Linked DNA regions of Saccharomyces cerevisiae S288C. Each later gene encodes a partner of the first gene's protein in a complex. Each region holds a gene or a part of one and is shown on either strand. Other genes may lie near its edges. A codon is read from its position in the direction of its gene.

What was found.
Region 2: the proteins of VPS74 (region 1) and SAC1 are in contact, whole or in part, in a crystal structure (PDB 4TU3), measured with the Saccharomyces cerevisiae proteins. Residues at the interface, in NP_010660.1 of Saccharomyces cerevisiae: Ser164 (codon at 2,017), Gly165 (codon at 2,020), Glu166 (codon at 2,023), Thr167 (codon at 2,026), Trp168 (codon at 2,029), Asn169 (codon at 2,032), Leu170 (codon at 2,035), Leu171 (codon at 2,038), Lys172 (codon at 2,041), Ile173 (codon at 2,044), Gln176 (codon at 2,053); in NP_012710.1 of Saccharomyces cerevisiae: Gln9 (codon at 2,013), Tyr69 (codon at 2,193), Ile95 (codon at 2,271), Ser97 (codon at 2,277), Thr98 (codon at 2,280), Lys99 (codon at 2,283), Phe100 (codon at 2,286), Asn101 (codon at 2,289), Ser102 (codon at 2,292), Arg103 (codon at 2,295), Ile104 (codon at 2,298), Ile112 (codon at 2,322), Glu116 (codon at 2,334), Lys120 (codon at 2,346).

What each region holds. Positions count from the first base shown.
Region 1 is NC_001136.10:1,220,558-1,223,676, reverse strand, and holds VPS74 (Vps74p), read left to right. Parts: upstream 1-1,527; coding exon 1,528-2,565; downstream 2,566-3,119. Other genes in the region: PHO92 (mRNA-binding phosphate metabolism regulator), read left to right, coding at 1-203; FRQ1 (frequenin), read right to left, coding at 346-918; CTS2 (putative chitinase), read right to left, coding at 2,729-3,119.
Region 2 is NC_001143.9:32,555-36,968, forward strand, and holds SAC1 (phosphatidylinositol-3-phosphatase SAC1), read left to right. Parts: upstream 1-1,988; coding exon 1,989-3,860; downstream 3,861-4,414. Other genes in the region: DOA1 (Doa1p), read right to left, coding at 1-1,553; TRP3 (bifunctional anthranilate synthase/indole-3-glycerol-phosphate synthase), read right to left, coding at 4,145-4,414. UniProt on the Saccharomyces cerevisiae protein: Phosphoinositide phosphatase which catalyzes the hydrolysis of phosphatidylinositol 3-phosphate (PtdIns(3)P) and phosphatidylinositol 4-phosphate (PtdIns(4)P). Has low activity towards phosphatidylinositol-3,5-bisphosphate (PtdIns(3,5)P2).

The DNA of each region.
Region 1 (3,119 bases):
CCTTTAAAGTAAGATGGGTGATCGTGCGTGATATAAATAACAGATCGTTAAAAAGGTTTTTGATACCATCCAATGAAATGAAACCGATAACACATTCCAGAGATACTCAAGAAATTCCATATTCGATTGGAATTTCAATAATTAATCTATTTAAAACTCAAGATTCTGATATTTTCTCCTTCTTGGATGAGACGTATGAATAGACCTTATCCCTCATTTATCAACATTTTATTCTCATTTATTATTAGTATTATTATTATTTTTAATATTATTTTTATTTAAAATTATCCTAAAATTACTTCTACTGTTATAACATCCAATCCATAAGAAGCAAAAACAAAGTTTTCATATTAAGCCATCGTAAAGGTTTAAGGCACCAATAATAGAGGGATCGACTTTAGAACCTTCTCTGAATTCGTCCAGCGTAATGTAACCATCTTCGTTCTTATCCATCAACTTGAAGATCTTCTTTACCCTCATTTCGGGCGTTGCCTCATCCTCATTAAGTGTAACCATAGACCCCATCATTTTATAAACACTCGCCACAATGGTTAGCATTTCATCAAATGTAATATATCCATCATGGTTCAAATCATAAAGTTCGAAAGCCCAGCTCAGTTTTTCCTCCAAAGTTCCTCTGGACGTTGTACTCAAAACTGTGATAAACTCTTCAAAATGTATGAATCCATTGTTGTCTTTATCAAAAACTGTAAAAAGGTGATTAGCAAAATCTTCAGGAGAACCAAATGGAAAAAACTGTTTGTATATCTTAACAAAATCTTCCCTAGCTAGTTGGCCACTAGGGCAATCCCTCAAAAATCCTTTATGCCATTGCTGGATTTCTCTTCTATCAAAATAGGTGGATTGTTTCAAACATGTCAGGTCATCTTTGGAAAGCTTTGACGTCTTGGCTCCCATTTTTTTTTTGAATCAAAAACAGTTTTCAAGCACAAAATAACTCTCGCCGATTCTTAAACTAGCAACAATTATAAAACAGGAGGTAATATCCCTAGTTCATCAGTTCAATCGTTGACAAATTAAACATTATTTCAGTACTCTATGGTATAATAATAAAAAATACACCGAAGAGTTACCCTTTTTTCGTTTTTAATGATCAATTCTGGCTCATTTTTTTACTTCCTGAGCAGTCAACTACTACTGAAAAAAAGAGGCTAATGGGTACGCATTTACCTAAAAACAATTAGATCCCTGCCTTGGATCGTAATCTTGTTTATCTATCCTTTTTGGACATTGACATCTATTTGTGTCGCAGTTAATTGCTTTCTGGGTACGTTGACTTTTTCAGTTCTATATCGGCCCGTTGCTTACTCTGTTCAACTCACTTATTCTTTTGTTTCGGTTTGGGCTGCTGCATTTATAGATTAAAAATAAATTTCAAATTTCCACGCTAACAAATAGAGCTAAATTAGCAGTTTCATTGTTGGCTATATTTTCATTACAACTTTTGATCTGATAACGTAAAAGAATTCAAACAAAAACTATCTAAAAAAATACAAAGCAAAAATCATGTCTACTTTACAACGTCGTAGAGTCAATAGGGCGGATTCTGGAGATACTTCCTCCATTCATTCTTCTGCTAACAATACCAAAGGAGACAAAATCGCAAATATTGCTGTTGACGGGGATGATGACAATGGAACAAACAAAAAGATTGCATATGACCCAGAAGAATCGAAATTGAGAGACAACATCAATATCCCTACGTTAACGTTGATGGAAGAAGTCTTATTGATGGGCTTAAGAGATAGAGAAGGATATTTGTCGTTTTGGAATGATAGTATTTCATATGCTTTGCGTGGTTGTATAATTATAGAATTAGCGTTAAGAGGTAAAATCAGAATCTTAGATGATTCCGCCAGGAAAAGGTTCGATCTTTCCGAAAGGTTGATTGAAGTTATTGACAGTTCCAAAACTGGGGAAGTTTTACTGGATGAAACTTTGCAATTGATGAAAAACGACGAACCTTTGTCAATTTCTAACTGGATTGATCTTTTAAGTGGTGAAACATGGAACCTTTTAAAGATCAACTATCAATTGAAACAAGTAAGGGAAAGATTGGCAAAAGGTTTGGTCGATAAAGGTGTATTGAGAACAGAAATGAAAAATTTCTTTTTGTTTGACATGGCGACACACCCCATTGCAGACGCCAGCTGCAAAGAAGCCATTAAGCGCAGAGTACTTTCTGTACTCGTATCGAGGAACATGGAATTAAGTTACAATGAATATTTTCCGGAGACAACATCTTTCAAAATCATTAGAACTTTAGCTTTAATATGTGGATCATATGGGGCAAACGTATTGGAGAATGTCCTGACTACGTTGGAATATGAGAAGAGAGATAAGGCAATTAGTAGAGCTGAAGAAATAATGGCACAATTTTCGCAATACCCATTTGATTTAGAAAAGGAAACTGAGTTAGGTGTCTCCGTTAATTTAAACAAGGAAGTTAAAGAAGAGATAGAAAACAATCCTGGTCATGATTTACAATTGGAAGTTATTGCTGGTGTATTTGAAGTCTTTTCAAGAATGGATATGCTATTATGAAAATAACAACAAAAATCCTCTCTTTGAAACATAAGGAAAAGTCAAGCTTTTTTTTATAAGCCTCTAACATTAATAAACGAAATTTGTATATATGTATATACATATACGGAGTGGATAATAAATAGACCAAACTTTTTGTTATTATATACGCCCACATTCGTATTCATTGCTTTCTTGAATCCAAATGCTTTAAATATGGAGATAAAAATCCGCCATCGCCATATTTATTCAAGTAATATTTTTTAACTCTCACATCTTGAAATATTGATGGTTTTGATGACACATTAAAGTGCAAGCCTTCATTAAATGCGTTTATCAACGACCTTGACTCATTTGCATAAGCTTCACCACATGACTCCCACCAAAAGCCTCCGCCTAAATTGTTATGTGTCACATATTCAGCCTTAGTTTTGACTGATTTAGTGTTATCATAACTGATAAATATTGAATTTTTTTCATCAAAGCAATATGCTGAAACATATTTTGGATCGTATTGTTCTATTGTACCAATCTTTGGTAAATTTTTGTAAGGCCAGATGCCCTCCTTGCCATCA
Region 2 (4,414 bases), on another chromosome or scaffold:
AACTCCCAGCTTTCATCTATGTCATGTAGTGCGCCACCAATTTGCGCCAGAATTTCATCATCAAAGGTCTTCTCATTTGAATTTATTTTTACTATTCCATTGAAAATAGTATCTGGGTTATAATTTTCCATGATAAGATACTGCTTGACAGGAAGAACCTTCATTACGCTCGTTTTTGAAGGTGATACTGCAGAAGATGATGCATTATCGTTGGGCTGGTCTAGCGATATGCCATTAGTGTTCTTCAGTATGAACTGTACTACTTGATCCCTATAACTCATTGGCAGTTCATAACGAGCCAAAAAATTGTCGGCTGCTGTATATGGGTTGTCGCTGACATTAATCGGCAATTTCAAGGGAGGTTTTCCATCTTCAATATCCACATCAAATACGTAGTCATACGTTTTACCCTCGAATTCTATTTTTTTGTCGTTTCCAGTAGCACCTGCACCGACAACATCACCAACCTTTTTCCATGAAGAATTTGAAAATTGATGAGCTTCTATAGTACCTTGAGGTGATTTGACTACCACAATTTGACCCTCTTTGCGCCCCGGCGATTGTAAAATTTCATAAGGTGATAGTTTAGACTCATCAAATTCTATTGTCTTGGAACTTATAGTGGATTTTTCCACTTGCGTAGATAGTTCATTTATTTCATCCTCGGAAGCCCATCTTGACTTCTCTTGCGAAAATATTCTCACAAGATTATCACTACTTCCCACAATAATATCACCATTAGACATACAATCAACGGACCAAATAGAGATGGCAGGAAGTGTAATTACCTGCTTTAACGAACCATTTTCCTTTGACCATATACGGACTGTTCGGTCTTCGCCGCAGCTTACAATATCTCCATTGGGCAGCAGTTTAATGCAATAAACAAAGCTTTCATGGCCTTCATATGTTCTTAGTACGTCACCTGTATGCATATCAACCAACTTGATGAGGCCATCGTTTGAACAACTGATAAAATGGCCATCATCCACCACAGCTAAATGTCTTACTACATCATTGTGAATCCCACTGAAAGTTTTGATCACTTTATCGTTTTGCCACAGTTTAATCGTCTTATCGGCGGAAGCTGTCAAGAATTTATTTTCTGAGAAGGATACGACTTTGGCATCCCATACAGAGGCATTGTGTGCTTGCAAATTGTAAACCAACGATCCTTCTTTCCAAACCTTTGCGGTTTTGTCCCAACTACCGCTTATCACAACACCATCTTGGAAGGATAAACTACAAACGTTCCCTTGGTGGCCAATCAAGGTATACAAGGGATCCTCTCCTGAGGTGGCAAACAAGGGCACACCGTTGATCATAGTATCCTTACCTCCAAAAAGCAACAACTCCTTCTCGGAATCATAACACACACTATTTAAAAATCCTTGTCCTGTATAAACTACCGTACCGAGCCATTGGTCATCTTTAGACCACAAGCGAACTGTTCCATCCCTCGAAACACTAGCAACCTTTGAATCATCCACAGCTACCACATCCCTGACGTCCTGATCGTGCCCTTTAAGTGTTGCACTCAATTGATATCCCATACTCCAAATCTGCTGCTCTACACCTTACTATCACACATGAATATATATATATAAAATAAGCCAAGACAGTGGCCTTCCCTTATTATCAGCGTACTAAAATCTCATATGATTTATTTTTCGTGGTCCTGAACGAGTGTGAAAAATTTTGAAAAACTCGCAAAGGAAATGCCAAGGTCAGCAACTTTCTCGACGTCCAAGCCTCGCTCCTATTGTTTTAGTAACCTGTAGACCTTCAATATTCAAGAGCTTGCACACGCACGCATTGCTGCACTACTGCTTACCCACACTACAAATTTAATTCCAGCTTATTGAAGTTGAAAAGGCAAGGGAAAAATACCACAGGTTTAGATAAGGAAATAGGAGAAAGGATTAGAAACCATATCCCTATAACAGTAACGATAATATTTATATACACGTATATTTTCTCGTCTAGATATGACAGGTCCAATAGTGTACGTTCAAAATGCGGACGGTATCTTCTTCAAGCTTGCTGAGGGCAAAGGAACTAACGATGCTGTTATTCACTTGGCCAATCAAGATCAAGGTGTTCGGGTCCTTGGAGCAGAGGAATTTCCTGTGCAAGGTGAAGTAGTAAAGATTGCGTCCTTGATGGGGTTCATTAAGCTAAAGTTGAACAGGTATGCCATTATCGCAAATACTGTGGAAGAGACCGGTAGATTCAATGGCCACGTTTTCTATAGAGTGTTGCAACATTCTATCGTATCTACCAAGTTTAACTCGAGAATCGATTCTGAAGAAGCCGAATATATCAAGCTACTGGAGTTGCATTTGAAAAATTCCACCTTTTATTTTTCATACACATATGATTTAACAAATTCCTTACAAAGAAATGAAAAGGTTGGTCCTGCAGCCTCCTGGAAAACCGCTGATGAACGATTCTTTTGGAACCATTACTTAACTGAAGATTTGAGAAACTTTGCTCATCAAGATCCTAGAATTGACTCCTTTATACAACCTGTTATCTATGGGTATGCCAAGACAGTGGACGCCGTTTTGAATGCCACCCCTATCGTTCTTGGTTTGATTACCAGACGTAGTATATTTAGGGCGGGCACAAGATACTTCCGTCGTGGTGTTGACAAAGACGGTAACGTTGGCAATTTCAATGAAACTGAGCAAATTTTACTCGCTGAGAATCCAGAGAGTGAAAAAATACACGTTTTCTCCTTCTTACAGACAAGAGGATCTGTGCCAATATACTGGGCTGAAATCAACAACTTGAAGTACAAGCCAAATCTTGTTCTTGGAGAAAACTCATTAGATGCGACAAAAAAGCATTTTGACCAGCAAAAGGAGTTATATGGCGACAACTACTTGGTTAACCTAGTCAACCAAAAGGGCCACGAACTACCCGTGAAAGAGGGCTATGAATCAGTCGTGCACGCGCTAAACGATCCGAAGATTCACTACGTGTATTTTGACTTCCACCATGAATGTCGTAAGATGCAATGGCATAGAGTGAAATTGTTAATTGATCACCTGGAGAAATTAGGTTTATCTAACGAAGATTTCTTCCACAAGGTCATAGACTCTAATGGTAACACCGTTGAAATTGTTAATGAGCAACATTCCGTTGTAAGAACAAACTGTATGGATTGTTTGGACAGAACAAATGTCGTTCAATCTGTTTTAGCCCAGTGGGTTTTGCAAAAGGAGTTTGAAAGTGCCGATGTCGTTGCTACTGGAAGCACTTGGGAAGACAACGCTCCATTGTTAACTTCTTACCAAAACTTATGGGCTGATAATGCAGATGCAGTTAGTGTGGCATATTCGGGCACTGGAGCTTTGAAGACCGATTTCACAAGAACCGGTAAGCGTACACGTCTAGGTGCATTCAACGATTTTTTGAATTCAGCATCACGTTATTACCAGAACAATTGGACTGATGGTCCAAGACAGGATTCATACGATTTATTCCTTGGTGGATTTAGACCACATACCGCTTCTATCAAGTCGCCATTCCCCGACAGAAGACCAGTGTATATTCAGCTGATCCCAATGATCATTTGCGCAGCCTTGACCGTTTTAGGTGCTACGATATTTTTTCCTAAAGATAGATTTACCAGCAGTAAGAATTTGCTGTATTTTGCAGGTGCGTCGATTGTCTTGGCGCTTTCAACCAAATTCATGTTTAAGAACGGTATTCAGTTTGTCAACTGGCCTAAGTTAGTAGACGTTGGGTTCTTGGTCGTTCATCAAACGCATGATAAAGAACAACAATTCAAAGGTTTGAAATATGCACAGAGTCCTAAATTTTCCAAGCCGGATCCTTTAAAAAGAGATTAATGAGTTCTATATGTGATAAAATGATGATTATTGTAAATCCAAAACGTAAAACCGAAAATATGATAAAAACGAGAAAAAAAGTAAGTTAAAAAATAAAAAAATAAAAAAATGAACGCCGGCCCCAGAGGGAAGAACAAGCTATTTATTTTCTTTTTTACTTTATCTTTCATGGTCATATATATATATATATATATATATATATATCTTCTATAGGCTACTATACATGAAGGCGTTCGCCCTTACAACGTTAAGTTTTTTTCCCTATTGTACCGTGTAAGTTTCAATTATTCGCATAATTCATGAATGAACTTCTTCACATCGGTTGATTTCATTAGGGCTTCACCCACTAAAAATCCATGGACACCTTCTTTTTTGTATTTTTCAGCATCGTCCCTGGTGGTAATTCCCGATAGAGCAATTAGAAGAACATCCTTTGGAATAGATTCTACCAAGTTACTGGTGGTATTTAGGTCTACGTTGAATGAATGCAGGTCCCTATTATTGACACCTACAACTTTAGCACCAATTTCTAGAGCCCTTTGTAATTCCTCTTT